2 linked regions of the Danio rerio genome follow. The protein of the gene in region 1 purifies or fractionates together with the protein of each later gene. This does not show direct contact. Links are inferred from orthologs where the notes say so. Each region holds a gene or a part of one and is shown on either strand. Other genes may lie near its edges.

Region 1 (15,744 bases):
ATAAATATTTTTGGCACTAAATAAAAAAGCATACATTGTATTTTTGTTTATTACCAGAATAATCAATGTTTTTGTGGTCCGGGTCACAAATGTGGTTATTTTATTGGCTTTTTTTTTTTTTTTAATAGATGAATAAAAATTTTTTAACAAAATAAATATAACAATACATGTATAATAAATATTTATTACCAATCATTTTGTGTTTTAGCCAAGTGTGTCCAGAATTGTGAAATTTTCCTTTCAATGCATTAAAATGAAATGCACTAAATGTAAATAAAACAATATTAATTGTAAAGATATTAATATTAAACGATTAATATTAATAACAATATTAATATATATTCCACTGTAAAAAGTTACCTCATAGAAAGGAAGACCGAGAGATGTGTCTGTCGAATCTGCCATGTAATTAACATGTAAATATGTGTTGTATTGTAGGGGTCAGATCAAGCTGGCAGACTTTGGACTGGCTCGCCTGTATAACTCTGAGGAGAGGTACGTAACTCCAGACATTTTTCAGACGCGAGGAGTGTAAATCAAGCAGATCAGACTTATGATTGTGTGTGTGTGTGTGTGTGTGTGTGTGTGTGTGTGTGTGCTGTTCTCCAGTCGACCCTACACCAATAAGGTGATCACACTGTGGTACCGGCCACCAGAGCTGCTGCTGGGAGAAGAGCGATACACACCGGCCATCGACGTCTGGAGCTGCGGGTGAGATGCTACTAACAAAATCTTATGTATAGACACACACACACCTAATAAACATACAGCTCAGCATGTACCCCAGTAAACCCCAACTTGTGTATACACGCACCTCATGAACACACAGTTCAACATGTACAGTTGAAGTCAGAATTATTCGCCCCCTTTTGATTTTTTTGATTAATTTTTCTCTTTTTATAAATATTTCCCAAATTATGTTTAACAGAGCAAGGAAATGTTCGCAGTGTGTCTGATAATATTTGTTCTTCTGGAGAAAGTCTTATTTGTTTTATTTCGGCTAGAATGAAAGCAGTTATTAATTTTTTAAACACCATTTTAAGGTCAAATTATTAGCCCCTGTAAGCTACATATTTCTTTTCCGATGGTCTCCAGAACAAACCATCGTTATACAGTATCTTGCCTAATTACTCTAACCTGCCTAGTTACCCTAATTACCCTAGTGAAGCCTTTACATGTGACTTTAAGCTGTATAGAAGTGTCTTGAAGAATATCTAGCCTAATATTATGTGCTGTCATCATGACAAAGAGAAAATAAATCAGTTATTAGAGATGAGTTATTAACACTGTTATGATTAGAAATGTGCTGAAGAAATCTGCTCTCCGTTAAACAGAAATTAGGGGGAAAAATAAACAGTAATTCTGACATCAACATGTATATTGTTGCGCAAAATGTATATTTTAGCGCCGGCAGCTCGCTCTCTGCAACTCTCACATGGTCGCCAACTGAAGCTAAGCAGGGCTGGGCCCGGTCAGTGACTGGATGGGAGACCACATGGGAAAGCTGGGTTGCTGTTGGAAGTGGTGTTAGTGAGGGCGGCAGGGGCGCCCAACCTGCTGTCCGTGTGGGTCCTAATGCCCCAGTATAGTGAAGGGGACTCTATACTGTCAGTGAGCGCCGTCTTTTAGATAAGATGTTAAACCGAGGTCCCGACTCTCTGTGGTCGTTAAAAATCCCAGGATGTCCTTCAAAAATAGAGTAGGGGTTTAACATCGGCATCCTGGCCAAATCTGCCCACTGGGCTCTGTCCATCAAGGCCTCCTAACCCTCCCCATATCATAAGTGGCTTCATCACTCTGTTTCCTCTCCACCAATCAGCTGGTCTGCGGTGTAAATGGCTGCCGTCGCATCATCCAGGTGGATTCTGCACACTGGTGGTGGATGAGGATCCCCCCCCCCCCCCCCCCTCTTGTGTGAAAACACTTTGAGCGTCCATAATACACTACATATAATGTATAACATAATGTAAGAAATTATTATTAATGCTATTATATCTCAGCAGACGCCAGAAACGCCAGCACGTTTATACGCGTGTCATTACTATTTATTAATCTGATTTTATATAGTTTTGTATTCTTAATTAATTTTCACATAACACGATGCCCGTGGTTAAACGTAAGAAATAATATATTAATAACTGCTAGTATAACAACAAATTTAACAACAAATGAAATGCTGTATGTAAGATACGTTTATACGCTTAATGTAATTTTATTGATCAGTTTTTTTAATTAATAGCTTTGTTTTGATAGATTTTTAATAAGATTGTCATTCGCCAAGTGTTGATGGCGTAGGATTGTAGTTCTTTCTTATTGAAGCAGTCTTGATGTTTCTTCAAATACTGTTTCTGCTTCAAATCGATGTTTGCAGCACGATCGTCATCATGGATCACGGATAAAACAAGATTTTTGCTGCTTATTCAAACTGCTTATTTAAAATAAGCCAAAACGACGTAGTTCTTGTTTTGTAAGGACAACTTAATGCGCAACATGCAAACAGACTTTTCATTTGCAGCCAGGCAACCCGCAGGCTTTCGGTGAACCGTCTTTCTATCGCAAAATATCACGTTTAAGATCTGATTTCTTTCCTCACTGCCTGTTAGATATACGATATGAAGTGGGTCTCGGATCAGCACTGCGTTAAACTCCGTTTCCCCCTGCGGTGTCTTTAATACGTGGCCGGTTATTTTACCCCAGTGTTTTCAATGGAATTTCTGCGCTCGCCTGTTGCCGGTGACGGCGCTAGCGGTTACAACTGTCGTTCATCTCGTTTTACGATTGAACAACTAAACGAATCCATTTAACCGAATGTATTGTAATTACATTACAGCATCGATGCTGTGAAAACAACCTTGTGGAACTGAAATACGTTAAGCTTTCACCGAATGTTTATCGTCGGCTGTGAAACTCTAGCTCTGCATCGCTCCCATTTTCACCTAATGTTTATGAACCGTTCACGTCACGCAGGTGCATTCTGGGAGAGCTTTTCACAAAGAAGCCCATCTTCCAGGCCAATCAGGAGCTAGCGCAGCTGGAGCTCATAAGGTAACAGCACGTTTCTTCTACTGTAAGTTAAGTGTAAATGTAGAAAAGTGTCTTGCTAATGCATGAAGTCGATGTTATTATTGTAATGTTAACTGTTTTATTGATTATATAGGGATCTTGCCATGAAATAGAAGTAATACAGTAATAACCAACAAATCAATAATCTTGTGTGTTGTGCAGTCGTATCTGCGGCAGCCCCTGCCCTGCCGTGTGGCCGGACGTCATCAAACTGCCCTACTTCAACACCATGAAACCAAAGAAACAGTACCGGCGGCGGCTGCGGGAGGAGTTCGCTTTGTGAGTAATCAGAGAGGAATCTCACAAGTTCAGTCTGTTTTTAAAGTGCAGGTCATGTTCAGTATTTTATGGAGAGCTAATATGCAGGAAAAAAAAAGCTTTTAAAAGGGGTTTGGAACCAGTTGTGTGTCAGCAGTGTGTGCGTTTCTACAAACCGTAATGGTAAACAAACAGTCTGCAGAAACATTTTGATTGACATTCTCCCTTGTTATGAGAGGGGGTAAGCCCCGCCCACTAGTGGCCATCTCTCCCTCATTAGCATAAACAGCAGCCCCTCAGTGAGAAGCAGCCGTCTGTGCATTAGCCATGAGAGTGTTTGAGCTGCTGAAGATGACGTCAGCATAGACTACAGGGTTGTTACTGGTGCTGGAAATCCTGGAAAACGCTTGATTTTTAATACAGTGTTTTCAATGTTAGAAAAGTGCTTGGATTTTGGACAATCTGCTTGAATTTGAAATTGCTGGGCTCAAATTTGACTGTTTCGGTTGCATGTGCGCAAAATTTCATCTGTGACCTCTGAATATGTTTGGGAGCATGTGTGCGAGGGCTTAAATTGTTTTTGCGCGACTAGTTTTTATTGCAAAATGTTCACCGCATGCTTGCTTTTATGGAGCTAATATTATGCCAAAACAATCTGAATTTGAATTGTGTTAAATTTAATTAATGATAATTGTAAGCTAAAAAATGTGATCACATGCTATTAAAAATGTTAAACCGAATTTAAATTTCTTTACTCGATTATTGAACATCCAAAATTTAAAAAAAAATTTAAGTCAGATTTTTATAGACATATTTTAACACTTTAGATTTTTTGGTTCTGAATTCAAAGACTGCAGATATTGGGTATGTAAAAAATACAGTTTTAAGTTTTTAAGAATTCAAACTATTCAAATTTAGATTGTTTTGGCATTATTAGCTTCATACTTATTTAGGAAACATTCGCCCAGAGTGCAACTTTGCATCTGAAACGCCAATTCAATGACTGTAAAAAAAAAAAAAAAAGCAATGCACTTGAAATATCATGAATGACTGGTCACGAAAGTTTGGTTCTACACCCAATCAAAATCTGACTGTGAGCTCATTTCTCGAGATATCAACTTTAGGTAGAAAGAGACCAAACTGAAAAACCTACTTCATCCAATAACTGTACTTTTTTGATTTATTTATTGAACCGTCCCAATAAATCTACGCTCCAAAGTGTTCAACAATTTAAGTGTAAATGTCGTATTGTGTTTTTAAAAATAGCACAATGGATTTAAATGTGAATGAGTACATACAACATACATGAACATGATTAACCGTGGTTGTTAGGTGCTGGAAATGCATACAAATGCACCTTGAAAGTGCTTGGAAAGTGCTGGAATTTGAAGTTGGAAAAGGTGTAAGAACTCTGAGACTAGGAGGATTATAGATGTGGAGTTTTAGATGAACAGCGACAGGAGCGGCATAGACTGACAGAGGCATGAAGCGCACACTGACCAACGACAACATGCAGACCCGAGCAGCACTGACAACGCAGCTAGTGCTGTTTTGTATCTGCCACTATACTGACACGCAGGCATTTGTAGCTCCGCCCTCTTCTGAAAAGAGCACAATCTCATTTGAATTTAAAGCGACGGTCACCAAAACACCACAATCGGGATCAAAGCCTAAAAGGGTCAGTTTCAGAGAGCTGGAGAACGTCATCTGTGTGCTGTTCTCAGCTCAAACTCACACACACTCTACAGACAGCAGCTTTAAAAAGTCTTGAAAGTAATATCGTTGGTTTGTCTGTTTCAGTATTCCCCTGATGGCTCTGGATTTGTTCGATCACATGCTGGCTCTGGACCCCAGCAAACGCTGCACTGCAGAACAGGCCCTGAACAGCGACTTCCTCCGAGACGTGGATCCCGCCAAGATGCCTCCACCCGAGTATGAGAGATTAGCTTTAAACTGTCGACTTTAATCCTGTACTTCTACTTTGTTTGTTGTTCTTTTTTTTTGCCAGAATAATATTTTGTTTTGCAGTTATTAATATTTTTATTATTATGATTATTATATTTTATTTATTTATTTATTGGACTTGGGCATTACATTTGGATAAGTATTTTTTTTGAACGAGTAGTCCTGAAAACACACACATGCATTAAAATGATTTTATCATCAGCGTTTATTCATGTTTTAGATGAGTAAAACAAAGTCATATTTATCATAAAAATTCCATATATTTTTGAGAGTTTCTACAAGCGTCAGGGCAGATTTATACTTCTGCGTCAAGCGCACGCATATGGTCCGGCGAAGCCTTCGTGTGGTCCGATAGCCCTCGCCGCTGACGCACACCTTTTAAAAAATGTAACCGCAACTGCACCTAGCACAAGCTCTGCGATCGGTCTGTTTGGTAGCTGTGACGAGTGTGGCCGATGCTGAGAGCAGTGAGCCCGATGGAGGGATCGCGGACAAGTGTCGACTCCCGCGAAGGAGCTCCGGATGGAAACTTTTGTTTCGCGTTTACCTTACTATTAAAGTTGTCGCACATCTGCCGGTTTAAGGGAGTTTCAGCTACTCGTACGTTAACAAAACACCCGCAGTGAAACTCGACACGGACAAACATAAAAGCCTACTGCCATCAAGTGTTTTGGAAGCGTTATTGCAGAGCAACACAAGCAGCGCACGGAAGTATAAACGCACGAGTACACGCAAGACTTGCACCGTGGGTCACGCCGATCGCTCCACGCGGAAGTATAGAGCAGGCTTCGGCCTGACAAACAAGAAACAAAACAAACAATTCATCTGAAAAAAAACAAATTACAGAAAGTTTTCCTGAAAAAGTAGGTTAATTTATTTAAACTTAAACTTTATTATTTATTTATTTAAAAATAAGTACATTGCGAAAGATGTCCTGGCATTTTTTTCACTAAACGTTTCACAAAATTCATCCAAATGTGTCATTTTAAGTAAAGAAAATATAATTTGGATAATATGAAATAAATAAAACGACGAATAAATGTTGTGTATTTCATTAAAATCTTTTAGTCCAGGCTTTTCATTTTTCCGATTATATCGATTCATCTCTTAAAGCCGTCTACGTCAAGGATGACGGCTATAACGATAAAGCGACGCACAGCCCAGCCGCAGCTACACCGATATATCTGCTGAAGTGCTACTGTAACCTTTTTACCTATTTTTCCTCCTAAAAACAAACAAAACGGACGGCCAATCAGAATCCATCCTGTTTTAACGAGCTCGAGCGTTTCAAGCGAGTGTCGTCACATCAGCGCGTGCACTTCTAATGAGCAGAACGATCCTGTGCGTTAATGCTGAGGCTAACACAGTTATGCGTGTTGCTGTGAGCAGATCTTTACCCTGTGTGTGTGTGTCTCTGTGTCTGCGTTTGTTCAGCCTCCCCCTGTGGCAGGACTGTCACGAGCTGTGGAGTAAGAAGCGGCGGCGGCAGAAACAGATGCCGGAGGAGCTGACGGCCCCTAAAGCCCCTCGCAAAGAGCTGGGTCTGGACGACAGCCGCAGCAACACACCGCAGGGATTCGGCACCGCCGCGGGAGGACACAAACCGCAGGGCAGCGCAAACGCTGCGGGCCTACTGGGTGAGTGAGCGCGCGCATGCGCAGATGCACACGCGCACCTGATTCGATCGCTTTGCGAATTTGAACGAACGTGAATAAATTGCTTCCAAATCTCCGTCTCTTTCCCACAGACCCCAAATCGGCCAACTCTCAGCTGACTCAGGATCAGCTGGCGGTGTTGCTGAATCTGCTGCAGTCCAAGAGCTCTGCGGCGGGGGGATCCGCTCAGTTCATGCAGACCGTGAGCTCCAAGATGAACCCTGAGACGCTGCAGCAGCTGAGCAAAGCCCTGCCGTGCGGCCTGCCGGAGTCCGAGCGTCCCCCGGAGCCGCCCGCGCTCCCCAAAACCTCTAAAGCCCTCCCGGCGGCCGCGTCGGGGCCCGGAGCGCCCCGCACTCCGCCCATGCCCAAACCTCCGTCTCCGCCCGGCCCGCAGCAGGCCGACGGAGAGAGCTCGGCCTCCGCCACGCAGACCGCCGTCACCATGCTGCTGGCTCAGCTGCTGAACGTCCAGCAGGGGGCGCCGGGGGACGGGACGGGCTTCGACGGAGCGGACGGAGGAGTCCCCAATACGGCTCCGGCGCCGCCGGAGATCAGACAGCCGCCGGAGCCCAGCCCCGTGTCTCCGGGTAAGATCGCACGGCAGGAGTCCTTTAAAAGATTGTGCGAACATTTAAAGGCGCCGTATGAGTTTCGGACACTCCACGACTCGCGCGCAGATATTTCAGAAGCGCGCTCGGCGAACGTTCTCGTTTATTCGAAAAGCAACGGCGAAGCCAAATGCAAGACGCGAGACGCAGATTCGGTTCCGCGTGAGGTTGTCGACGGAGCGGAGGAACTACGACGTCGCTTTGTAAGCTAATCGGCCGCTGGCATGAAACCGGTTCTGTCGTGAAAACCCCTGTAGGATATTCCCTTAGGCTTTTCGAAGATCGCGAATAACAAGCTCCGCGTTCGAACGCCGTTCGTCACACTCCTAACCCTGGCACGATAATACGAGTTGGAGCGCTTTTGGATCTTGAATGCGAACGCAAGAATCGAAAAGCTAGCGTTAGGCCACAAACGGACTACGGAGCCCTCGGGGCGCTCGTCTGTGACGTCAGCGTCGCCCTGCCGCAGACGACTTTTCGAACTTATTTGTAGAAATAACGTCCGTGACAAAGAGTTTATCTCTCTGTTTATTATATTATAATCCACGCTATATATCACGAACAAACAAATGCGCGAAAACTCGGTCCCGGAGGGCCGGCGTCCCGCAGATTTCGGCTCCAGCTTCGCGGGAAACGCGTCCGTTTCGCTTTACGGTCGTTCCGAAAGTTTTAAAACCGCGTATAAATCTGCCTGCGTAGTGTTATCGTCAGACACGCTTAAATAAGCGTATCGCTCAGGAACGAGTCTATCGAACGCCTGCGAGTTCCATCGTGGACGCGGAGCAACGTTCGACGTTCCTTTTTTGTCACGGAGTACAGCGAAAAGCGGCCCGTGCGGTCACGTATGCATTACGTTTTACGGAGGAGTGTAAATATCACGGTTACGACGAGGTCAAACGCGTTCAGACGAAGAAAAAAAAGACGGAAAATAACTCGATCGTGAAAACGACAGTTAACGCGCATGCGTTTATACGCATTTATTCACGCGTTTGCGTTACCGAGAGCAGGAGAGAGACTGGCTGCGCCGGTTAGCGGTATCTTCGTAAGGCCGTTTATTAAAATAAACGATGGACAAACGGATCCGTCTCGACGTCCTTTACGGGTGAAGGATTTATCTGCACGCGATCCGCGTTCCCGATTGGAATAACGCTACGAACTATAAAACGGCATTCGTGAAAATGCTCGAACGACAGACGAATCGTTTACCGCGGGCTATCGTTTAACAGCAGACGGCGCTCTAGGCCGAAGGTTTCCGAAGTTTTCGGTCCGCGACCCCCGAAAAAACGACGCCGGCAATTCGCGACCCTCCGTGTTCCTCCGAGGTGGTCGTACAGGTGCGAAGCTCGCGAAACGGTTCACGCGCGCCGAGTCCGTCGTTCGTTTAATTTGGGGGAACGCCGGAGATCATCCGCTACGTTCGGTCGCGGCCTGCGTTCCGTTTCGTCGTACCCGAGTGCCGCAAAGGCATCGGAAAGTTAACCCCGGTGCCGCGAAACGGATCTTCCGCGTCCAACCCCGCCGCTGCGTCTTTAACGCGGGGGCGTCCGAACTCGGTCCCGGAGGGCCGGCGTCCCGCAGATTTCGGCTCCAGCTTCGCTGGACGCGCCCGTTTCCGGAAAGCCCAGCGAGAGCTCGATCGTCCGGCCCGGGTTCGACGTGACGACACCCCGGAGGTCGCAACGCGACGGCGGAAAATGCGCGCCGCGACCACAGAACGGCATTTTTTTCTCTTGCGGCATTTTTTTCTCGCGCTCGTTGTGGTAATTTGGGCGAAACGAATCAGATTTTTGGAAATCGCCAAGCGACCCCCGCCGCCGCCGCTCTAGGCTAGCGTTCGACAGCGGGGCGTCGCGGATGCGGTCGTTAGCTCTGTGTCGCCGTAGGTGATTTTCGTCTCTCACCCTCGTGTGTTTTTCGTTGCAGATGCGGAAGGCGGCGGCGTCCCGTCCTCCGGGACTCTGGACTCTCTCTCCATTCTCCCGCCGGACCAGAGACCCCCGGAACCCCCGGAACCTCCGCCCTGCGCCGACCTGGACTACCGGCACGCCCCCGAGAGCCGACCGGCGGAACCTCCTCGACCCCCGGAGCCGGACTATCCTCCGGACGGATCGGGATACGGGGGAGATTTCGGCCGGCCCCCGCCGCCGTTCCCGCACGCGGGCTTCTCGGACAGCTACCTCGGCCGCATGATGGGGGCCGGCCTGCCTCCGCACGCGCCGCTGGGCCCGGAAGCCTTCGCTCGCGGAGATCATGGCATGGTGTTCAGCGGAGATCAGGACCATCGGTTCGAGTACAATCACGGGCCGCCGCCGCCCCCGCCGGGACAGCCCTGGACTTCCCCGTCCCAATCGCTGGGGTACGCGGCGGCGCTGCGGGGTCGAGGACTGCCTTTTTGATGCCCCGCGGAGAGAGAACCGACCGACCCCGAACGCCTCGGAGAAAAGAAAGACTCCGAAAGAGGCGCGCGGTCGCCCCGAAACCAGCACTAAACCCGTTTGTAACGTTTGTAAAACCGGAGGGACGGACGCGGCGATGGGAACTTTTTTTTGGGATTTCCCGCTCGCGCCGTTTCGTAGATCCGTTCGGTTTCTCCGGACGGATTTGGTTTGGTAATCTGTATTCCGCTGCTGTCTTTTAAATTAAAACCAGACCTTTCTTTGTTTCGGGGGCGTGCGTTCGCCGCGCGGTAAGTGTTTTTAGCAGCTGCGCGAGGACGGACGGACGGAAGGACGGACCTCCAGTATTACGATGTTTTGCACTACTGAACAAAGTAGGCGGACGCGAGCGGAGCGCTGTGCCGCATCTGCGCGCGTGACGAGCGGCGACGTGAGGCGTTTTATTTTGGGTCGGTTTCTTTTTCTTTTCTTGATGATTTTTGACCGCTCCGGGCTCCGCCCGAAGGTTTCGAGGGGTCCGGGGAGACCGGCAGCACTTGTGCGATCTGGTGAATCTACTGAACGGATCGGCGCTGCGTTTCGTCACCAGCTCTTGTCTATAGCCATTGTAAAATCGATAGTTAAAGAGACGTTTGACCTGTTTTTTGTTTGTTTTTTTTCTCTCGAGGAGACGAGCGACGATGCTTTCTTTTTTTTTTTTGTTTTGTATGAAGATGTTTTGTCCCCCTCTTTGGCAGACGTTTATTAAAGAAATGCCAACAACGGAAGACGTGCCTGTGTTTTTATTTTTTGCAAGCGTTCGCATTTAATGGGTCATGATTAACCGCATTCAGATTAGCGTATCCCCAACGCATCTCAGTCATACTAATAGCATTTGCATGATGTGTGCGTGCGCCATGTATGTAAAATACACTGCGTTTGCGTGTGTGTGTGCGTGTGTTTTGTTAAAGCATGTAGACCAGTTGTTTTCAAACTGTGGTACGCAGGTTTCCTTCTAGTGGTACGAGAAGGAATGAAATATGTCACGTACATGCTACACACATTTCAAAGTTTACCAAAAATGATGTATATAATATGCCATATATGACATATAGCCTATATTTCTGAGGTGATCTGCCATGATTTTTTAACTGTCCAGAGTTGTAGCTGCTTTACTGGGCCTACTGCGCTACTGTGTTTCGATACTGCTCATTTCGGCGGTACTTGGAGAGACAAATTTTTCCTGAGGTGGTACTTGATGAAAAAAGTTTGAGAACCGCTGATGTAGACGATATGCATGTGATGAAAACAGTAACCGGCCGCTTTATTAGGTACACCTTTATTCGTACCCTCTTTTGCCTTCAGAACCGCCTTAATCCTTGGTGGCGGAGATTCAGCAAGCTACTGGAAATGTTCCTCAGAGATGTTGCTCCATGTTGACATGATAGCATCACGCAGTTGCTGCAGATTTGTCCAAGTGGTGCTCGCTGCAGAGCCATTTGAGGAGAGGTGAGCTCCAGAGAGGGGGAGCTTAAGCTTGAGCTCCACCTTTTTTGCACTTCTTCTACGAGTGATGTCACTGGGGGTAGGGTTAGGGGTGGGGTTGGTGTACGCATTAAAACAGCTTACAGTAGGAGGAGCGACAGCTCATGCTCCCCCTCTCTGGAGATCACCTCTCCTCAAATGGCTCTGCAGCGAGCACCCTCTCGATTTGTCGGCTGCGCATCCATGATGCCGATCTCCCGTTCCACCACATCCCAAAGCTGCTCTATTGGATTGAGCTCTGGTGACTGTGGAGGCCGTTCGAGTACAGTGAACTCATCGTCACGTTCAAGAAACCAGTCTGAGATGATTGAGCTTTACGACATGCTGCGTTATCCTGCTGGAAGTAGCCATCGGAAGATGAAGACGCTGTGCTCATAAAGGGATGGACATGGTCAGCAGCAACTCTCAGGTAGGCTGTGGCGTTGATGCTCAATCGGTACTAATGGACCCAAAGAAAATCTCCCCCACACCATTACACCACCACCACCAGCCTGAACCGCTGATACGAGGCAGGATGATCCATGCTTTCATGTTGTCGAGGCCAAATTGTGAGCCGAGCATCCGAATGCGTCAGCAGAAATGGAGACTCATCAGAGCAGCGACGTTTCTCCAATCTTCTATTGTCCAGTTTTGGTGAGTCTGTGTGAATTGTAGCCTCAGTTTCCTGTTCTTAGCTGACAGGAGCGGCACCCCGTGTGCTCTTCTGCTGCTGTAGCCCATCCGCCTCAAGGTTGGACGTGTTGCGCGTTCGGAGATGCTCTTCTGCAGAGCTCGGTTGTACCGAATGCTTATTTGAGTCACTGTCGCCTTTCTGTGCTGGAACCGGTCTGGCCATTCTCCTCTGGCATCGACTAGGCGTTTGCGCCCACAGAGCCGCCGCTCGCTGGATATTTCCTCTGTGTCGGATCTGCATTGTGTTCCAGTGCGTTGACTTGCAGTGTTTAAAATGATCGTTTTGAATGTTTAAGAATTTCAATACGTTTAGTTAGCGTTTTTGCAGAGAAAAGCTGTTAGTGGGGTTAATCAGCAAGTGAATGATCAATGATCGTTGCTTGTATAAAATATTGTAAAAACTGCTTCTTGCGGTGCATCGTTTAGATAAGAGGACGGCAAAATACTTAATGATGTGAACTTTCTGTCAGTTTTTATTCTTATAATTAGTGAATCGTTAATTGTGATCAAATAAGCGAAGTTCATCATCATCATTAATCGGTGCGCTCAGCGTCTACGTTGGGGTGAATAGGAAGTGTCACGTGTTATCCGTCACCTTTCTCAACAGCGGTCATCGCGTTTTGTTTCGGTGAGTTAAATCTGAACGTTTTGTGATATAATGTACGTCAGTCGTGTAAATGATAATAATAACCCCCGAGGACGTGTCCTAAAGTTCAGAAAGCGTTTCAACGTAAGCGTTGCTGCGCGCACTTTTTAAAAACATTGCATAAAACAAACACGTATCTGACATAAAATCGCAGAGATGTCTTTATGTAAATGCGATATGATAAATGATGAAAAAACGCTACAAAACAGTTTAAACGATGATTATTTTTGGTTATGCCCAATAAAGGACGAACAAGTGACGTGCCGCAGATGACGTAGTAACCCGGAAGAAAACGTTCGCCTCACAATCATCATCGTCAGCTGACAACACATCCAGCGTGCGAGCGACAAACGAAGGTTTATTTACAGTATTTAATCATTTATGTGTAACGATTATGGCGCAGAAAATCAGCGAAGCTCACGAGCACATCGCCAAGGCGGAGAAATAGTGAGTAAAGCTGTTGAGTCTGTACTGTAGCGCCTGTGAATGAACATGACCGCACGTTCGCTCCTCTCTAATGTACATTTTCTGACGAATATCAAATTGTAATGGCTTTAATAACCGAGCAGCGTGTCGAATGTCAGCGTTTACTGTTGTTTTAACGTATTACCTGCTTTAGGCTGTCCAGGTGATCGCTTGATGGTGGGTGTGTGAACAGTAAACATCTGTATTTCCTATTCAATGCAGCTTAAAGACGAGCTTTATGAAGTGGAAGCCTGATTATGACAGCGCTGCGTCTGAATACGCTAAAGCAGGTGAGCGGACACCTTTAACACCCTCTCCGTACACACGCTGCTCGTTTGTTTGTTTGTTTAGCGCAATGATTAGCATTTGTTCATTATATGTTGTTTAAATTATATCATATATATATATATATATATATATATATATATATATATATATATATATATATATATATATATACACACACACACACACACACACACACACACACACACACACACACACATATATGTGTGTGTGTATGTATGTATGTGTATATATATATATATATATATATATATATATATATATATATATATATACACACACACACACACAAACACGTGTGTGTGTGTATGTATGTATGTATATATATATATGGGAGCTGTACAGAATAAAGTACAGCTGTTATTGATCTATTTGTTGAGTAGGTAGTTTATCTGTTTATGTTTTTAGTTGTTTTGTTTATTCTTTAATGTGTGTTTTTATTTGTTTGTTCATTTATTCATCTGTTTATTCATACATTAAATTATTTATTTATTAGCTTATTCATTTATTATAGAAAAAAGCATTGTTCCAGTTATCCATTTGTTTATACATTTATTCTTTTATTTATTAGTTTGTTTATTCATTTATTGATCTGTTTATTCATTCATTTCTTTATTTGCTTTTAAAGTAATAATGTCTTGTTTGTTAATTCTTTCATTTATCTCTTGACCCGTGGTGTATTCATTCATTCATTAATTTATTTATTCATTCATTCATATTTATTTATTAAAGTATTAATTTGCTTATTCATTTTTCTATTCATTTATTTCAGTAATTTATTTGTTTGTTAATTTATTTGTTTATTTGTTCATCCGTAATCTGTTTTTCTTTATTAATTCATCCATCCGTTAATTAATGTATTCATTTATTCAATTGTTGGGTTATTTATGCATTAATCCATTTATATTATTTATCTTTTTTTTATTAATTCAGGATTAGCATTCATTCATTCATTCATTCATTCATGTTTTTATGTATTTATTTTTTTGTTTATGGATCCATCTACTCTGTATTCATTCATTCTTTCGATATTCATTTAGGATGTTTATTTTTTTATTAATTGATTGATCAAATCATTTATTTATTCATTTGTTTATTCATGTATTTATTTGTTTGTTTATTTATTGATTTACCCATTAGGTATTCATTTGTTCATTAATTTATTCATGATATTTGTTTGTTGATTCATTCATCAATCCATCCATTTATTTGTTTATTTTTTTTATTCATTCATTTGTCCATTCATTTATTTATGAAAGAATTTGTTCATTGCATTAATCCATTTATTAAGCAGTTATTTGTTTGATTATCGATTCGGCCACTATGCATTTATTTGTGTTATAAATTTATTTGTTCATTCAGTTTATTTATAATTTAATTTGTGTCATTCATTCATACATTACTTAATAATTAATGTATTTATTCATTCATTCATTCGTTCAGTTGGTTGTACATCTCTGGCTAATTGAACTATGATTTATATTTTCATATAATCCTGTAACACTGATAACATTACACAGAAGAGGAAAAAGAGTTTGTGTATTTGTGGATTGCTGCGTGTTTCTGCATGAAATGTGATGCTGCACCACAAAACAAGCCATGAGGTTCATAAGATGTAATGAAGATTTATTACATGAAAGCTGAATTAAGTCTGTAGTCTCTCTCTGATGATGATGATGATGATGTCCTAAAGTTTGATGATGATCTTCTTCTCCTTCTCTTTCCTCCAGCGGTCGCCTTTAAAAATGCTAAACAGCTGGAACAGGCCAAAGATGCGTATCTACAGGAGGCTGAAGCGCACGCGAACAACAGATCGTATCCTTCACTTACAGTCATGCATTACTCCTGTTAAACAGCGGCCCGTGCTGCATTCAGCTCTTTCTCCTTGACTCTTCCTCCAGACTTTTTCATGCTGCAAAGTGAGTGTGTACAGACACAGCCGAAGTCCAAATCTATTCATCTCTTTCTCCAGTTGTTTTCTAATTGATGTTTAATAGCAGAGCAAACACATTTTCACAGTGTTTCCTCTTGTTCTTTAGGAGAAATTTGTTTTATTTAGGCTAGAATAAAAGCAGCCTAAACCCATGTAAAGGTCAATATTATTGGCCCCTTCAGCAATATTAGTGTTGGATTGTCTCCAGAACAAACCACTGTTATACAGTCACTTGCCTAATTACACTAAC
Region 2 (14,911 bases), on another chromosome or scaffold:
GAACTAACCCTATTCTGGGCCACAGTTTGCTTTGATTCCGGCCTAGCTTCGGCCCACAACAGACACTTAAATCTGGACCACATACTGAATGGAATGATGGCTCTAGCGCGGTCCGCTCCCACAAATAAGCCAAAACAATACAGCGTATTAGCCAGAATTCAACCAAATGAACGAGAACTGACCCTATTCTGGGCCACAGTTTGCTTTTATTCTGGCCCAGATCTGGCCTATTACTTCTATTGCTGTCAAATATTCACCCATATATGTTTTAAAAAACTGTGCCGCATTTGCCATATTTTCTCTGGGCCACATTAGGCTCACAGACAATAGCCAGAGCTTGCTGCACCAAAAGTCGCCCATATATGTCTTAAGATAACCAGGCAACATTTGCACCTAAACGTGTGAGCCACTTTAGGTTTAGACCCACATTACCCTTAAATGACTATGCCACATTTTTGGCAGCTGTGGCCCACATTTGTCCTCCATCATTTGGGTCAAATTTATAATTTTCCACATGGGGCACATTGGGCTCACATTCAGATTACATTTTGCTATAAGTGCCAAATCTTTGCCTGAAATTGCCCATAAATGAAGTTGAGTCTTTGGGCCCCCCTTTACCATTGTACAGAAGGGCCACTTCAGGCTCACATTCATTTTGTCTGGGCTGAAGGAAGACCACCTTCAGCATAACTGCCTAAAGTGGCCCACATTCGTATGCTATCTGGGTTATCTCCACTTAACCCTGCTCAAAACATGGCCTGGGTCATTAAAAGGTGACCTAAGAGTTCCTGCATTTCAAGTCTCGCAGGTGATATGTATATCTGTCAAATTAATGAATGAAGTCATGTTGGGTATTATTTTAAAGGTCTCAGTGTGAGTGTGTCAGTTCTGTCAGTAGTGCACACCAATAATAATCTCTCAGAATTTTGACCAATTGATGCATAAAATTATCTGTGATAAGATCTTTGTCAAGCATTTCATTTTTACTCCAGGCTTTAGGATACACTACCCTAGTAGCAAAGAATTCTAGCCCAGATTTGGCATAAATCTGGCACAGCAGGCATTCAGCTGGCACTGGCGCGCAGCATGTGGGCCAAACATGGCCCTGATTTGGCAGAGCTTATCTTTAAGGTGGGACACAATACTTGGGCCAGATGTAAAATGTAGTATTTGGCCCAGATGTAATAATTGATATGTGGGCCCTGTAAGTTTTTGGTCTTGATCCCAATTTAAAATAAATTTTTATCATTTTAAAATAAATAAATAAATTCTACCAATCAGGTCGCTTCGAGAAAAAGCATGCCCATAGCTGCCTAAAGTGAAATGCTTATGGGTTTATCAATTTCATTGCAGTCCCCACAGAGCAAATGTTTTCTGGCCCAGCTCCGGGCCACACAATATCTTTTCCTTTGGCCCAAGTATGGCGGTCCTGAAGTGGCCCATAACTGGATTAAACACAAGGCCCACACATGGGCCATCACCGGCCTAAATCTCAGCCAATTTAACACCCTTAACTGGCCCTGAACTGGGCCAAAACAGGTTTATTATTGGTCCTGATTCTCAGCTATAAGTTTATACTTTAACCAGAAACTCCAAAAACTGAGCCATAACCCAGCCTGATCTGGGCCACACACCTTCCATTCACAACTGGCCCAAATGTAGTTTGCCATCATGCATACAGTGCCATCATTGCCATTGCATTCGGCTGACATTATGCATGCCAGTGCCGGCAACACGACAGCAGTGCCATAATGAGGCCACATTTGGGCCAAGTCCGATTGTTATTTGGGCGTGACGCACCAACATATCTGGCCCAGTTCAGGCTCAGTTCATTCATTCATTTTCTTGTCGGCTTAGTCCCTTTATTAATCCGGGGTCGCCACAGCGGATTGAACCGCCAACTTATCCAGCAAATTTTTGCCCTTCCAGCCGCAACCCATCTCTGGGAAACATCTACAGACACATTCACACACACACACTCATACACTACAGACAATTTACCCTACCCAATTCACCTGTACCACATGTCTTTGGACTGTGTGGGAAACCGGAGCACGCAGAGGAAACCCATGCGAAGGCAGGGAGAACATGCAAACTCCGAGCCGAGGTTCGAACCAGCGACCTTCTTGCTGTGAGGCGACAGCACTACCTACTGCGCCACTGCCTCGCCACTCAGGCTCAGTTATTGGTTATTAACTTGGCTGAGACTTGGCCCAGATATGGTCCAAGTTTAGCTCTTGTCTGGAAGCCAGACTTGATCCAGTCAATTCACTGTGGCATGTGGGCCAAGCAAAAGCTGATTGAGTGGGCCAGAGATATTTTGCTATGTGGGTAGTGTCATCCCCTTTCAGAGTAAAACTGTAATGATATGTGTGTCACTGCTCTTTACTGTAAGACAAAATGATTTGTTTCCTCGGGATCTCCAGGCCCATCTGAGAGGTCACTGAGGCCATTCGGTTCCACATGAACAGCTGTGACTAGATGCCAATTTTACTGGGTGAAACAATGAATACTTGACTCAGTAGCTGTCCCAGTATTAGCCTGATATCTTTGTTTTATTATCCTGATAAGATGCCTGCTAGAGAGAAGGACAGACTTGAAGTAGATAAGTATTCTTTATGTATGTGTCTGTGCTCTTCATTGTCGGAAACATAAAGCGTTCCGACCATCCTGACCACAGAAATATTCTCCTGTTATTTCTGACCTTTGTATGCTTGATGCCCGAGTAATCATTGGAGATATTTTTCAGGCTTGTACGCACACACACACACAATTCATGGAAGTCTATCACGTTTTATAATACCTATCAGATTAAAACACCTGCATGTCTGACGCAGTTGGTGACGCTTGTTAAAGTATAATTATTGCTGATTTGAGATTGTAAGCAGAGAGGCCTATGAACTCTGTGCGAGTGTTGAGGCTGGCTTCTGCTGATGACAATGCAAACTATCCTCAGTAAACTTTATTTAATTAAATCTGACAATGGTTCTTCTCCATCGATTCCCCAACAAGGAGCATACCCGGATAGCATACGAATATGGGCCACTTTAGGCAGACTGGTGGTCTTCCTTTGGCCCAGACAAAATGAATGCGGTTACCTTGTCGGAATGAACTACCAAATTTAATACAGGTGGTCGGCTGGTGAAGTTAGGACGATTCTAAGGGCCCATACATTTAGGGGGCCCCCAGAGACATCATCAAGACATCTTTTAGCTTAGCTTAGCTTAGCATAGATCATTCATTTATCATTCATTCATTTTCTTGTCAGCTTAGTCTCTTTATTAATCCAGGGTCGCCATAGCGGAATGAACCGCCAACTTATCCAACAGGTTTTTATGCAGCAGATGCCCTTCCAGCCGCAACCCATCTCTGGGAAACATCCACACACACATTCATTCACTACAGACAATTTAGCCTACCCAATTCACCTGTACCACATGTCTTTGGACTGTGGGGGAAACCGGAGCACCCAGAGAGGTGCAGGGAGAACATGCAAACTCCACACAGAAACGCCAACTGAGCCGAGGCTTGAACCAGCGACCTTCTTGCTGTGAGGCGACAGCACTACCTACTGAGCCACTGCTTCGTCCTAGCATAGATCATTGAATTTGATTAGACCAGGCATGTCCAAACACGGTCCTGGAGGGCCAATGTCCTGCAAAGTTTATTTCCAACCCCAATCAGCAGAAAGTCCCCTTCCAAAATAATCTGAAGTGCCCCCGCTCTTCTGTTTGCGACAACCATCCCTTGGATAGTCTCTGCACGGGGCTGCAAATCAGGACATACCTGGGCTAGCTAATCAAGCTCTTACTAGGCCAGGGGTTTCCCAACTCGGTCGTGGAGGGCCAGTGTCCTGCAGATTTTAGCTTCATCTTGTCTAAACACACCTGTATAGATGTTTCTAGAAAGCCTAGTAAGAGCTTGATTAGCTAGCCCAGGAGTGTCTGATTGGGGTTGGAACTAAACTTTGCAGGAAACCGGCCCTCCAGGACCGAGTTTGGACATGCCTGGATTAGACAGTTGACAACCAAAAATTAAATTATTTTCTTAATTAAAGCTCAACTCTTCTGTAGTAACATCACATACTAAGACTGTCAGAAAATTAGCAAGATGCTAATGATAAAATCTGATTCAATGATGCTAAGCTAGGCTAAATATGCTCCTGCCAGACTTAGATACCTGGGCTAGCTAATCTAGCTCCTACTAGGCCAGGGGTGTCCAAACTCGGTCCTGGAGGGCCAGTATCCCGCAGATTTTAGCTACATCTTGTCTTAAAACACCTGTAAAGATGTATCTAGAAAGTCTAGTAAGAGCTTGATTAGCTAGCCCTGGTGTATCTGATTGGGGTTCCCTGCTGAAAAAAACAGCTTAAACCAGCCTAGGCTGGTTGGCTGGTTTTAGCTGGTCGACCAGGCTGGTTTTAGAGGGGTTTTGGCCACTTCCAGGCTGGTTTCCAGCCATTTCCAGCCTGGTCTTAGCTGGTCAGGCTGGGAGATGACCAGCTAAAACCAGCTTGACCAGCCTAGCCAAGCTGGGAGTCCAGCCAAAACCAGCTATGTCCAGCTTAAACCAAGCTGGTCAAGCTGGTTTTAGCTGGATTTGGCTGGTAATTTTCCAGCCTGACCAACTAAGACCAGGCTGGAAATGGCTGGAAACCAGCCTGGAAATGGCCAAAACCCCTCTAAAACCAGCCTGGTCGACCAGCTAAAACCAGCCAACCAGCCTAGGCTGGTTTAAGCTGGATTTTTCAGCAGGGTTGGAACTAAACATACTAAGACTGACAGAAAATTAGCAAGACGCTAATGATAAAAACTGATTCAATTATGCTAAGCTAAGCTAAACGTGCTCCTGCCAGACTTGGATACCGGCTGAATGGATTCCAAAGTTGTAACACACAACACAAGGCACAAATCAGCAAATGCGCAGTTTTTATTATCTGCCTAAAAGAATCAACGGGTAAACACAAGCTAGTTGAGCACAGAGAGTCCCTCGATCAACTATAAACCAAACTAAGGCACATTCGGGAAACTATGAAACCAACATACCCAATAAATGCACCTGATCTCAGGTCAGTCAAAGATGCCAGAAAGGCATCAGAATTACCTACTGCTAAGGAAGATTTGTGGGACGGTTTCCCGATCTTGCTAAGGAAATAAGAAGAAGTCTGCAACAAACTAACTAAAAAGTAAGCCAGAGGAACACAACACTGGGAAAATAACAAACAAAAAAAAGCAACACACTCTAAAGATAATACAGAATAACCCATATGTACAATGAAGAATTCATAATTCGTTCATAGAAAGGTATTTGGAATGTAAGTGGTGATAAGAATGGATTTAAAGGGATAGTTCACCCAAAACTGAAAACGTCTGTCATTTACTCACCCTTCACTCAACTGCTAACCATTGACTTAAATAGGTAGGAGAAATACATACTATGGAAGTCAATGATTACAGGTTTCTATCATCATCTAAATATCTTCTTTTGTGTTTAACAGAAGAAAGAAAATCAGAGCAGGGGCCTCCAAACTCAGTCCTGGAGGGCCGGTGTCCTGCATATTTTAGTTCCAACCCCAATTAAACACACCCGAGGCAGCTAATCAAGCTCTTTCTAGGTGTACTAGATCTCCAGGCAGGTGTGTTGGAGGAAGTGTGAGCTAAACTATGCAGGACACCGGCCCTCAAGGACTGAGTTTGGGCACCCCTGTCATAGAGGTTTGGAAACACTTGAGAGTAAATAGTGACAATTATATTAAAAAAAGCTGCAGATGCTGTCATTATTCAAGCCTTAGAAATGTAAAGACCTGAATCTTTACCTCCTGTCAGACCAATTTATACATCTACTTGTGCACTATAATCACAAAAACATCCTAGTGTGAGAGCATTTAACACTGAAAACATCCTCAATTAGATCCACATGGTCTGTACTGTTGTTAGACCTTATGGGATAGTTCACCCATAAAATTAAATGAATCACCCCTTATGTGGCTCCAAACTGCTATGACTTTTTTTGTTGCCGTCCTAAAAATGTTTTTTCAAATATAGAAAACAGATATTTTGAAGAATGTTGAAAACCAAAACCCACAATGACATCCATAGTAAGAAGAAAATGCCCTGGAGTTTCCAACGACCTTCAAGATATCTTCCTTTGTGCTCAACATTCATGGATGAACCTTCCCTTTAGCAGGAGGATGAGTAGATGAACACGACAGCTTTTTGTTTTAGCGATGAATTCCCTGCTGAAAAATCCAGCTTAAACCAGCCTAGGCTGGTTGGCTGGTTTTAGAGGGGTTTTGGCCATTTCCAGCCTGGTCTTAGCTGGTCAGGCTAGAAAAATGCCCAGCTAAATCCAGCTAAAACCAGCTAAAACCAGCTTGACCAGCCTGGATTAAGCTGGACATGGCTGGTTTTGGCTGGGCACCCAGCCTGGCTAAGCTGGTCAAGCTGGTCCCAGCCTGACCAGCTAAGACCAGGCTGGAAATGGCTGGAAACCAGCCTGGAAATGACCAAAACCCCTCTAAAACCAGCCTGGTCGACCAGCTAAAAGCAGCCAACCAGCCTAGGCTGGTTTAAGCTGTTTTTATCAGCAGGGTTATCCTTTTAAATCAAGTAAGTAGAGATGAAGTCTACAGAACGGTGAAACCCTGAACCCAAGTGGAAGCCTGTGGTATTTCATAGACTTCCTGACACTCCAATTCAAGCAGGGGTGTCAAACTCGGTCCTGTAGTGCCGGTGTCATAGTTTAGCTCCAACTTCCTTCAACACACCTCCTTGGAAGTTTCTAGTATACTTATAAAGAGCTTGATTAGCTGGTTCAGATGTGTTTAATTGAAATTGGAACTAAAATAAGCAGGACACCGGCCCTCCAGGATCGAGTTTGTACACCCCTGGTCTACACCTTCCTATAAAACCTGCATCAAAATACATAGAAACCTGACGGTGTAGAGTTCAGAAGCAAAAACCTCTAGTTGCCATCTAAAGTGAGCACTTTTGTCAGCTTCCTCTGTTTATTTTCACTAATTTCACTTTAAACGCAATAAAAGGGAACTCTTAACTGCCATGAAAGTGAAATTACTGAACCTACAGAAGAGAGGATGAAAATAAAAATGCTCATTTTAGAACAGGCATGTCCAAACTCGGTCCTGTTGTGCCAGTGTCCTGCATAGTTTAGCTCCAACTTCCTTCAACACACCTCCTTGGAAGTTTCTAGTATACCTAGAAAGAGCTTGATTAGCTAGTTCAGGTGTGTTTAATTGGGGTTGGAACTAAAATAAGCAGGACACCGGCCCTCCAGGACCGAGTTTGGACACCCCTGGTCTACACTTTCCAATAAACCTGCATCAAAATACATAGAAACCTAATGGTGTAGAGTTCAGAAGCAAAAACCTCTAGTTGCCATCTAAAGTGAGCACTTTTGTCAGCTTCCTCTGTTTATCTTCGCTAATTTAACTTTAAACGCAATAAAAGGGAACTCTTAACTGCCATGAAAGTGAAATTACTGAACCTTCAGACGAGAGGATGAGAATAAAAATGCTCATTTTAGAACAGGCATGTCCAAACTCGGTCCTGTTGTGCCGGTGTCCTGCATAGTTTAGCTCCAACTTCCTTCAACACACCTCCTTGGAAGTTTCTAGTATACCTAGAAAGAGCTTGATTAGCTAGTTCAGGTGTGTTTAATTGGGGTTGGAACTAAAATAAGCAGGACACCGGCCCTCCAGGACCGAGTTTGGACAGCCCTGGTCTACACTTTCCAATAAACCTGCATCAAAATACATAGAAACCTAATGGTGTAGAGTTCAGAAGCAAAAACCTCTAGTTGCCATCTAAAGTGAGCACTTTTGTCAGCTTCCTCTGTTTATCTTCGCTAATTTAACTTTAAACGCAATAAAAGGGAACTCTTAACTGCCATGAAAGTGAAATTACTGAACCTTCAGACGAGAGGATGAGAATAAAAATGCTCATTTTAGAACAGGCATGTCCAAACTCGGTCCTGTAGTGCCGGTGTCATAGTTTAGCTCCAACTTCCTTCAACACACCTCCTTAGAAGTTTCTAGTATACCTAGAAAGAGCTTGATTAGCTGGTTCAGGTGTGTTTAATTGGAACTGGAACTAAAATAAGCAGGACACCGGCCCTACAGGACAGAATTTGGACACCCCTGGTCTACACTTTCCAATAAACCTGCATCAGAATACATAGAAACCTGACGGTGTAGAGTTCAGAAGCAAAAAACCTCTAGTTGCCATCTAAAGTGAGCACTTTTGTCAGCTTCCTCTGTTTATTTTCACTTATTTCACTTTAAACACAATAAAAGGGAACTCTTAACTGCCATGAAAGTGAAATTACTGAACCTACAGACGAGAGGATGAGAATAAAAATGCTCATTTTAGAACAGGCATGTCCAAACTCGGTCCTGTAGTGCCGGTGTCCTGCATAGTTTAGCTCCAACTTCCTTCAACACACCTCCTTAGAAGTTTCTAGTATACCTAGAAAGAGCTTGATTAGCTGGTTCAGGTGTGTTTAATTGGAACTGGAACTAAAATAAGCAGGACACCGGCCCTCCAGGACCGAGTTTGGACACCCCTGGTCTACACTTTCCAATAAACCTGCATCAAAATACATAGAAACCTAATGGTGTAGAGTTCCAAAGCAAAAACCTCTAGTTGCCATCTAAAATGAGCATTTTTGTCAGCTTCCTCTGTTTATCTTCACTTATTTCACTTTAAACACAATAAAAGGGAACTCTTAACTGCCATGAAAGTGAAATTACTGAACCTACAGACGAGAGGATGAGAATAAAAATGCTCATTTTAGAACAGGCATGTCCAAACTCGGTCCTGGAGGGCCAGTGTCCTGCAAAGTTTAGTTCCAACCCCAATCAGACACACTTGGGCTAGCTAATCAAGCTCTTACTAGGCTTTCTAGAAGCATCCTTGCAGGTGTGAAGAGCAAAAATCCGCAGGACACCGGCCCTCCAGGACTGAGTTTGGACACCCCTGTTTTAAAACATATCAGTTGGTTTTTAGATGTGAGCTCTGTGTATTGTATACAGGCACGCGTCTCATCTTCTCATCTCATCTCATCCATGCCCCTCTGTTCATTCCTGTGATGGCGTGGGGCGGCAGCTGAGGCTGGCCTGGTGGAACAGGAGGAGGAGGGTACCCAGCAGGCGGTAAACCCATTCCCGGAGGGGGTACGTTGTGCCCTGGTGGCATGTGTGGCGGCGGAGGCGGGTAGCTAGGGTTGTACCCTGGAGGAGGGTAAGCTGGAGTGGGTGGGGGCAGATTGGGAGGAGGGTAAGAGGCTGGAGGCGGAGGACCTGGAGGGGGAGGGTTTGTGTGCGCATAGACATGTGGGTGATAGGCCATCCTGTACGAAGGGGGCATGGGCGCGTAGGAGGGCCCTTCGGTCTTCATCATAGACTGCAGACTCTGAAACCCCTCCCCAGACATGTAGGAACTGGACGTGGACATGCCCATGATGTAGCTGGAGGGTGGAGGCGGCGGTGGGCGGTGTGGCAGAGGGGGAGGGGCTCCGTGTGGCAGAGGAGGAGCAGGTCCTTGTGCTGGGTCCAGTTCTGATGCCGCAGCTGGCTCGGCTTCTGCAGGAGGTGCTGGGATGGCAGATGGAGTCTTGCGTTCTGTGTAGTAAGATGTCAGAGGCATTATTAGTGGTTGCGTTCATTACATTTTAAACTGCACGAATCGAAAAATGCCTATGGATCTTTTTTACAAGATTGATATGATGTCTTTAATGGTCATCAGCATCTTGAATCCTTAAAGGCTTTTATTATTTAAATTTTTAAATAAACGAGTGAACATTTCTACTCAGGGGCGGACTGGCCATCTGGCAATTTTGGCAAATGCCAGAAGGGCCGGACCAATTTTTAAATGTGGGCCGGTCAGTTTTTTTTTTAATATGTATTTTTTTATGTGCAGACAGCTTTTATCTCTTGCTAGATATGATATCATGATGATGATGATGATAAAAATAATAATAATAATAATAAATGTTAAGCATTCGGCCCAATCGGCAACTGCCGTCTGGTTTCAAGACCCAATCCAAGGTTACCCGGACATAATCAAAATTTGGCAAGAATGTCATATTATTTCACCATCTTTACACTAAAATAAATAGTGAATATGCATGTCCGTGGGTGGGTCTGTATCGTGTGGTAATGTGGGCTGGTGTGGCAACTAGTGCCAGGGCTGAATTTTTGTCCCAGTCCGCCCCTGTTTCTACTTATTTATGTATGTGTTACATCATCTTTGCATAAAATTACAAAAATAGATTAAGGCCTCGTTTACACTAGCGCGTTTTAGTTTTAAAATGGCGTTTTAGATCAAAAATCATCCGCGTCCACACTAGCGTTTCCGAACATATCCACACTACGCCACCAAAAACGTATATCACGTGACCATTCGCGCACTCTGAGCATGCGCATTCTAGAATAAACAGAAAGCATGTGTCTCGCTCGGCAATGAATGTACATTTTTAAAGTTCCGTCTTTTCTTTTCCTTTATTTTTTAAACATTACTTATTGTGTGTGATGAGCAGGGCCAGACGGAATCTGCAGATGTTTTTTGCTATTTCTGCGGAGAATTTTGGTAACAGTCTGTGGATTTCTGCGGAATTATTTTGGGAGTGTCACAACTAAAACCTCAATATGTGAAATAAAAAGTAATCCCTTTTAAACTTTTATTTAATGTTTACAATGCAAATCCAATTAGATTGACTTTATTTGCCAAACAAAGCAAGTCTCTCATATAATATCTCTACTAAAAGACAGAAAATATTACTGTACAAACTGCATTGTACATAAATCAGATGAACATTTTTACATTAGTCAATAATTTTACCGAAATAAATAAAAAAAAAAAACTGAATAAATAGATTTACACACATTTAATCAAGTCAAAAAACAATTAATGATGGGCTAAAAATCTGCGGAGTTCTGTGCGAAGATTTATTGTGCTGCTTCTTTTAAAACAAAGCAAGTCTCACCAGGGGGTTGAGAAACAGGAAGAGGTGGCATGGGACTCTCCAGACGTGGTATCTTAGAGCCGACTTGCTCTGAAACAGTGACAGAGAGTAATTTACACTTAATACAATAGGAAACTCATAATCCCACAATAGACCTTGGTTCTCGTGAAACTATAAAATGTCCTTTGCAAGCAAAATTATTTACCTGCTGGAGCTTTAGGTTCATCTTTAGGAGAGACCTACAAAACAACACAAAAAGATAGGAGTTTTAGATTACCTAACGCATACAGAAGCTATCTAACCAATCCTTTCATTTTCTTCTTAAGCCTAGTTCACACTACAGGATTTCAAACATCAGCAGATCGCTGTGCCGTTCACACTACATGACTTGACTTTGTGTTTTTTAATCTCTGTGGTGTTCACACTACGCGACACTACGTGAATGATCCACAAGAGGGGGTCACACACTACATGATCTGACAACAACTCATTCCCCATCAGCTCATTCAAGCTACCAAACCACAGCCAATGAAATTTTGAGGGAGGAGTCGTCAGAAAAAGCTGAGCACTATTGGCTGCTTGTGTGCTGATGACAACACTGACAGCGTTTCAAGCTTTGGAGAAAGCATTTAAAAACATCGTCAAATCAGCTGATTTATCAGCGGATTAATCACTCATCTGCAGGTTCCAGTGGATAGATACACAGAGTTTTTAATTTTTTGTAATTTTATAACTATTTGAAATAAAACTAACATATCTATAACACCCTGCTGTTTTCTAACTATCAGTGTATTTCTTTCTGACATTGTTTTTTTTTTTTTTTTTACAAAACAGTAAAGAACTGAGCATTTCTGCCTTAAATTACCATATTGGTCAAAATGACTGCATGCATGTCTGATACTTTTCGCTGTGACTTTAAATATGTGTGCATTTTCTTGCCTGGCAACTTCCTGCTAACATAAACAAAACTTTCTGATGGCAAAAACATCAATTTACTCCAGATATCTTTCAAAACAGCATATTCTGTACCGTTAAATAGCTCCTGTTTGAAAGTGAAAATGAAAGCCAAGACCTTTAAGTGTTCTAGTATCTTAACTACATATTTATAGGCTGTATTTCCAAAAAAAAGATTATATTTTTAGGGTAATGGTGTCATTAAATATGATGCCAGACATTCAAAGCTTAATTTTAATATCTCAATAATAGCTTTGAATGTAAATATGTTGTGGCAATATGGTGTTTTATATGAGGACGGTCAGAATGAGCAGTATGGTAATTCTAATAGTTACAGAATTCTAGTTCCACTGTTAATATAGCCTACTCTCGTGTCTGTGCTAACGCAGAATGAAGCGAGTGCACTGATGCCCATTCTGACCAATCACAGATGTTTCTGCTGAGCTCCTGAACACACAGGCATTCAGCTCATGCTGATATGCTCTCTCATTGGCTGCAGCTCGTCACTACATCTGACCACACGTGGGGTTGAGTCGGCCGACTGGTCTGGAATATTGAGCATGCTAAATGTTGGATTTCCGTCTGCGAGGTGTCGGCGACGCGTTAACGAGCCCCGTTGATGCGTTGTTCAGTAGTTCACACATAAAGAGTGGCGAGCGCCGAGCACCCGCAGATTTCTTCCCGATCACAGCCCGATCTGTCGGCGAGCTAGTTTACTTCCAAATCAGGCTCAAATCAGGCTTAAAATCCTCTAGTGTGAACTAGGCTTAAAGAAGCAGCTTGCTTGTTTGTTTTTAACAGTGAAGCAAAAAACTATAAACTAAACTATAGTAAATATACTGTGATGATGTGAGAAATGTTGATGGCGTCTGAATGATTTTTGGTTTAACTGTGTATCGTAGCCCATAGTAAATGCTTTACTTACATGTTGGCGTTTAATCTTGGCGGGCGGGCTGGCCTGGGGGGAGTTCTTCTTGGAGGGAGGTTGAGCGGGTGGGTTCTGCGCCCCTGATTGGCCGGGAGGAGCAGCGGGAGGGGGTGGCGGTTTCTCTTTGTCCTGCATCGGAGGCTGCTGGGGGATCGGCTGCTTACCCTGAGAGTACAAATCCAGAATCTGGTGGCAGATATCTGTGAACCACAAGAGCAATACCATAAGATACAGAAGGTAAGCAGTGAAATAAGTCACAATAAATCTTAAGGAATCAAGACTTGAGATTTCATCAAACTTCTGAGTTTAGAAATGTAGGGTGTTTGAAGGTATTGCTGCATAGTATTGGAAAGTAATGACATTGCAGAACGGTTTTAAAAAACAAACATCTCCACCATGTTGCCTTCAAATAAAACCTCGTCATGCCAACATGTTACTGTAAACAGAGGCTTAACTCTGGCCCTGTCTCTGAGTTCTTCTGATTGGTCCACAGCTTTAGAGCTGACGTTGGTGAGTGGTGCAAAGAGGTTACATGGTCTTGAATAAAACCGTTTAAAAATACTGTTAGGTATGAGATGTTAACCGGTCTCAAGGGTTACCGTGGCTTGAAAAAGTCGTGGTTAAAAAAAGTAGTTTCTTTACACTTAAACAGAACATTTTAAAGTGCACCTATGGTGAAAAATCTACTTTTCAAGCTGTTTGGACAGACATGTGTGCAAGTATAGTGTACAGACCGTCATATTGGGGTGATATAAACGCACACAGTTCTTTTTTTTTTCAATTTAACAACATAAAAACAGTGGACCAATTGGAGCGATTTTCAGACCGACCACAACTTTACGTAGGAGTGCGGTCCCCCCGCCCACCAATATTGATTGACAGCCTTGCGTCACGATAATATCCTCAGTTTCTTGTTGCACGTATGCCATTTTCAGCATGTGAGTCAAAGCAATATCACTAAAGGAACACCCGTGCTCTATTTTATGATAAAAGGCTCATTGGGCTCAACACAAGTTCAATATTCTCCACATTAATTGCTGTAATCGGATTTATTGCTTGTACCTTTTGCGCGGCGCCGTGCATTTCGGAGTTCTGGGTGTGGGTTTCTGTCGGGGTGCACGTGGCGGAGCTTCGGGTCAGCGGCTCGGCGCAGCTTTCTGTCGGGGTGCATGCGGCAGAGCTTCGGGTTGGCAGCTCGGCGCGGGGTGGGTTTCTGTCGGGGTGCACGCGGCGGAGCTATGTGTCAACGCCGTAGCATAAGCGTGCTTTTGACGCAGAAGTATAAATCAGCCTTTAAGCACCGAACTCACTCTGGAAGTCCCAGAAGTCATTGCGACTGGAGGTGGGAAGCGCAGCATTTTATCTAGATTTATTATTAAAGTTCAGAGATATCACTGATTTACCTCAGGAGTTTCCCTAAATAAAACGGTGAAAGTAAACAAAACCATGAACATCTTAAGTGGAATAAACACATTAAGGGTGTTTGTTTGCTGAAATTCATATTAAAATCTGTTTATTTATATTGTGCTGAGTATATTTATAACGTTTTCATGCATAGTATATATTTTGAAGACGGGGAAAAACAATAAATCCCTGTATGAAGGCTGTAATGTTGAAATAATTTACCATTTAAAACAAGTGAAGGTCATGTGACCATCAAGAAGAACGCAGCATCTCATTTCTCACAGGACACGTTCTCTGTCCACGCGGTCTCCCGAGTTCGTTCTTCCGAGGACACAACCGGGCTCCACAAGAACGAAAGTCCGTTCTCTGCGTACTTGGAATTGAGAAACAGCCCTAGTTTGGACACCCCTGCTCTATATGGTAGATTTTAAAGCTATGGATTGTATCCTACTGTATGGTATTATACCTTATGATGTGCAAGCTGATGTCTGAAACTTTTTATTGTGTAGCCTTTTAAAAACGCATGCCGTGTCAAACACATGATGCAGTCTCTTACCTTCCAGCAACTCCACTGGAACATCCTGGACAAACTGCTCCCACCAGCGGCGAGACGACTGCTTAGAAGTCCACTCCTGAATGTCAAAC

The links.
Region 2: the proteins of cdk13 (region 1) and ccnk purify together in Homo sapiens (affinity purification with mass spectrometry; 4 studies listed by BioGRID and IntAct, counting the BioPlex papers as one, with this or other methods). This does not show direct contact. The link is inferred for Danio rerio from reciprocal best matches to the Homo sapiens genes CDK13 and CCNK.

The regions. Positions count from the first base shown.
Region 1 is NC_133199.1:1,071,887-1,087,630, reverse strand, and holds the end of cdk13 (cyclin-dependent kinase 13), read left to right. Parts: intron 1-438; coding exon 439-495; intron 496-609; coding exon 610-711; intron 712-2,967; coding exon 2,968-3,045; intron 3,046-3,225; coding exon 3,226-3,342; intron 3,343-5,121; coding exon 5,122-5,253; intron 5,254-6,720; coding exon 6,721-6,923; intron 6,924-7,033; coding exon 7,034-7,531; intron 7,532-9,475; coding exon 9,476-9,948; 3' UTR 9,949-10,715; downstream 10,716-15,744. Other genes in the region: napga (N-ethylmaleimide-sensitive factor attachment protein, gamma a), read left to right, coding at 13,494-13,545, 15,292-15,376, 15,463-15,480. UniProt on the Homo sapiens protein: Cyclin-dependent kinase which displays CTD kinase activity and is required for RNA splicing.
Region 2 is NC_133195.1:5,236,952-5,251,862, reverse strand, and holds the end of ccnk (cyclin-K), read right to left. Parts: coding exon 14,823-14,911; intron 13,063-14,822; coding exon 12,860-13,062; intron 11,220-12,859; coding exon 11,186-11,219; intron 11,071-11,185; coding exon 11,002-11,070; intron 9,638-11,001; coding exon 9,072-9,637; 3' UTR 8,851-9,071; coding exon of another isoform or gene 8,803-8,850; 3' UTR 8,773-8,802; exon of another isoform or gene 8,349-8,772; 3' UTR 8,036-8,348; exon of another isoform or gene 7,990-8,035; coding exon of another isoform or gene 7,875-7,989; exon of another isoform or gene 7,616-7,874; 3' UTR 5,552-7,615; coding exon of another isoform or gene 5,451-5,551; 3' UTR 4,912-5,450; downstream 1-4,911. UniProt on the Homo sapiens protein: Regulatory subunit of cyclin-dependent kinases that mediates activation of target kinases.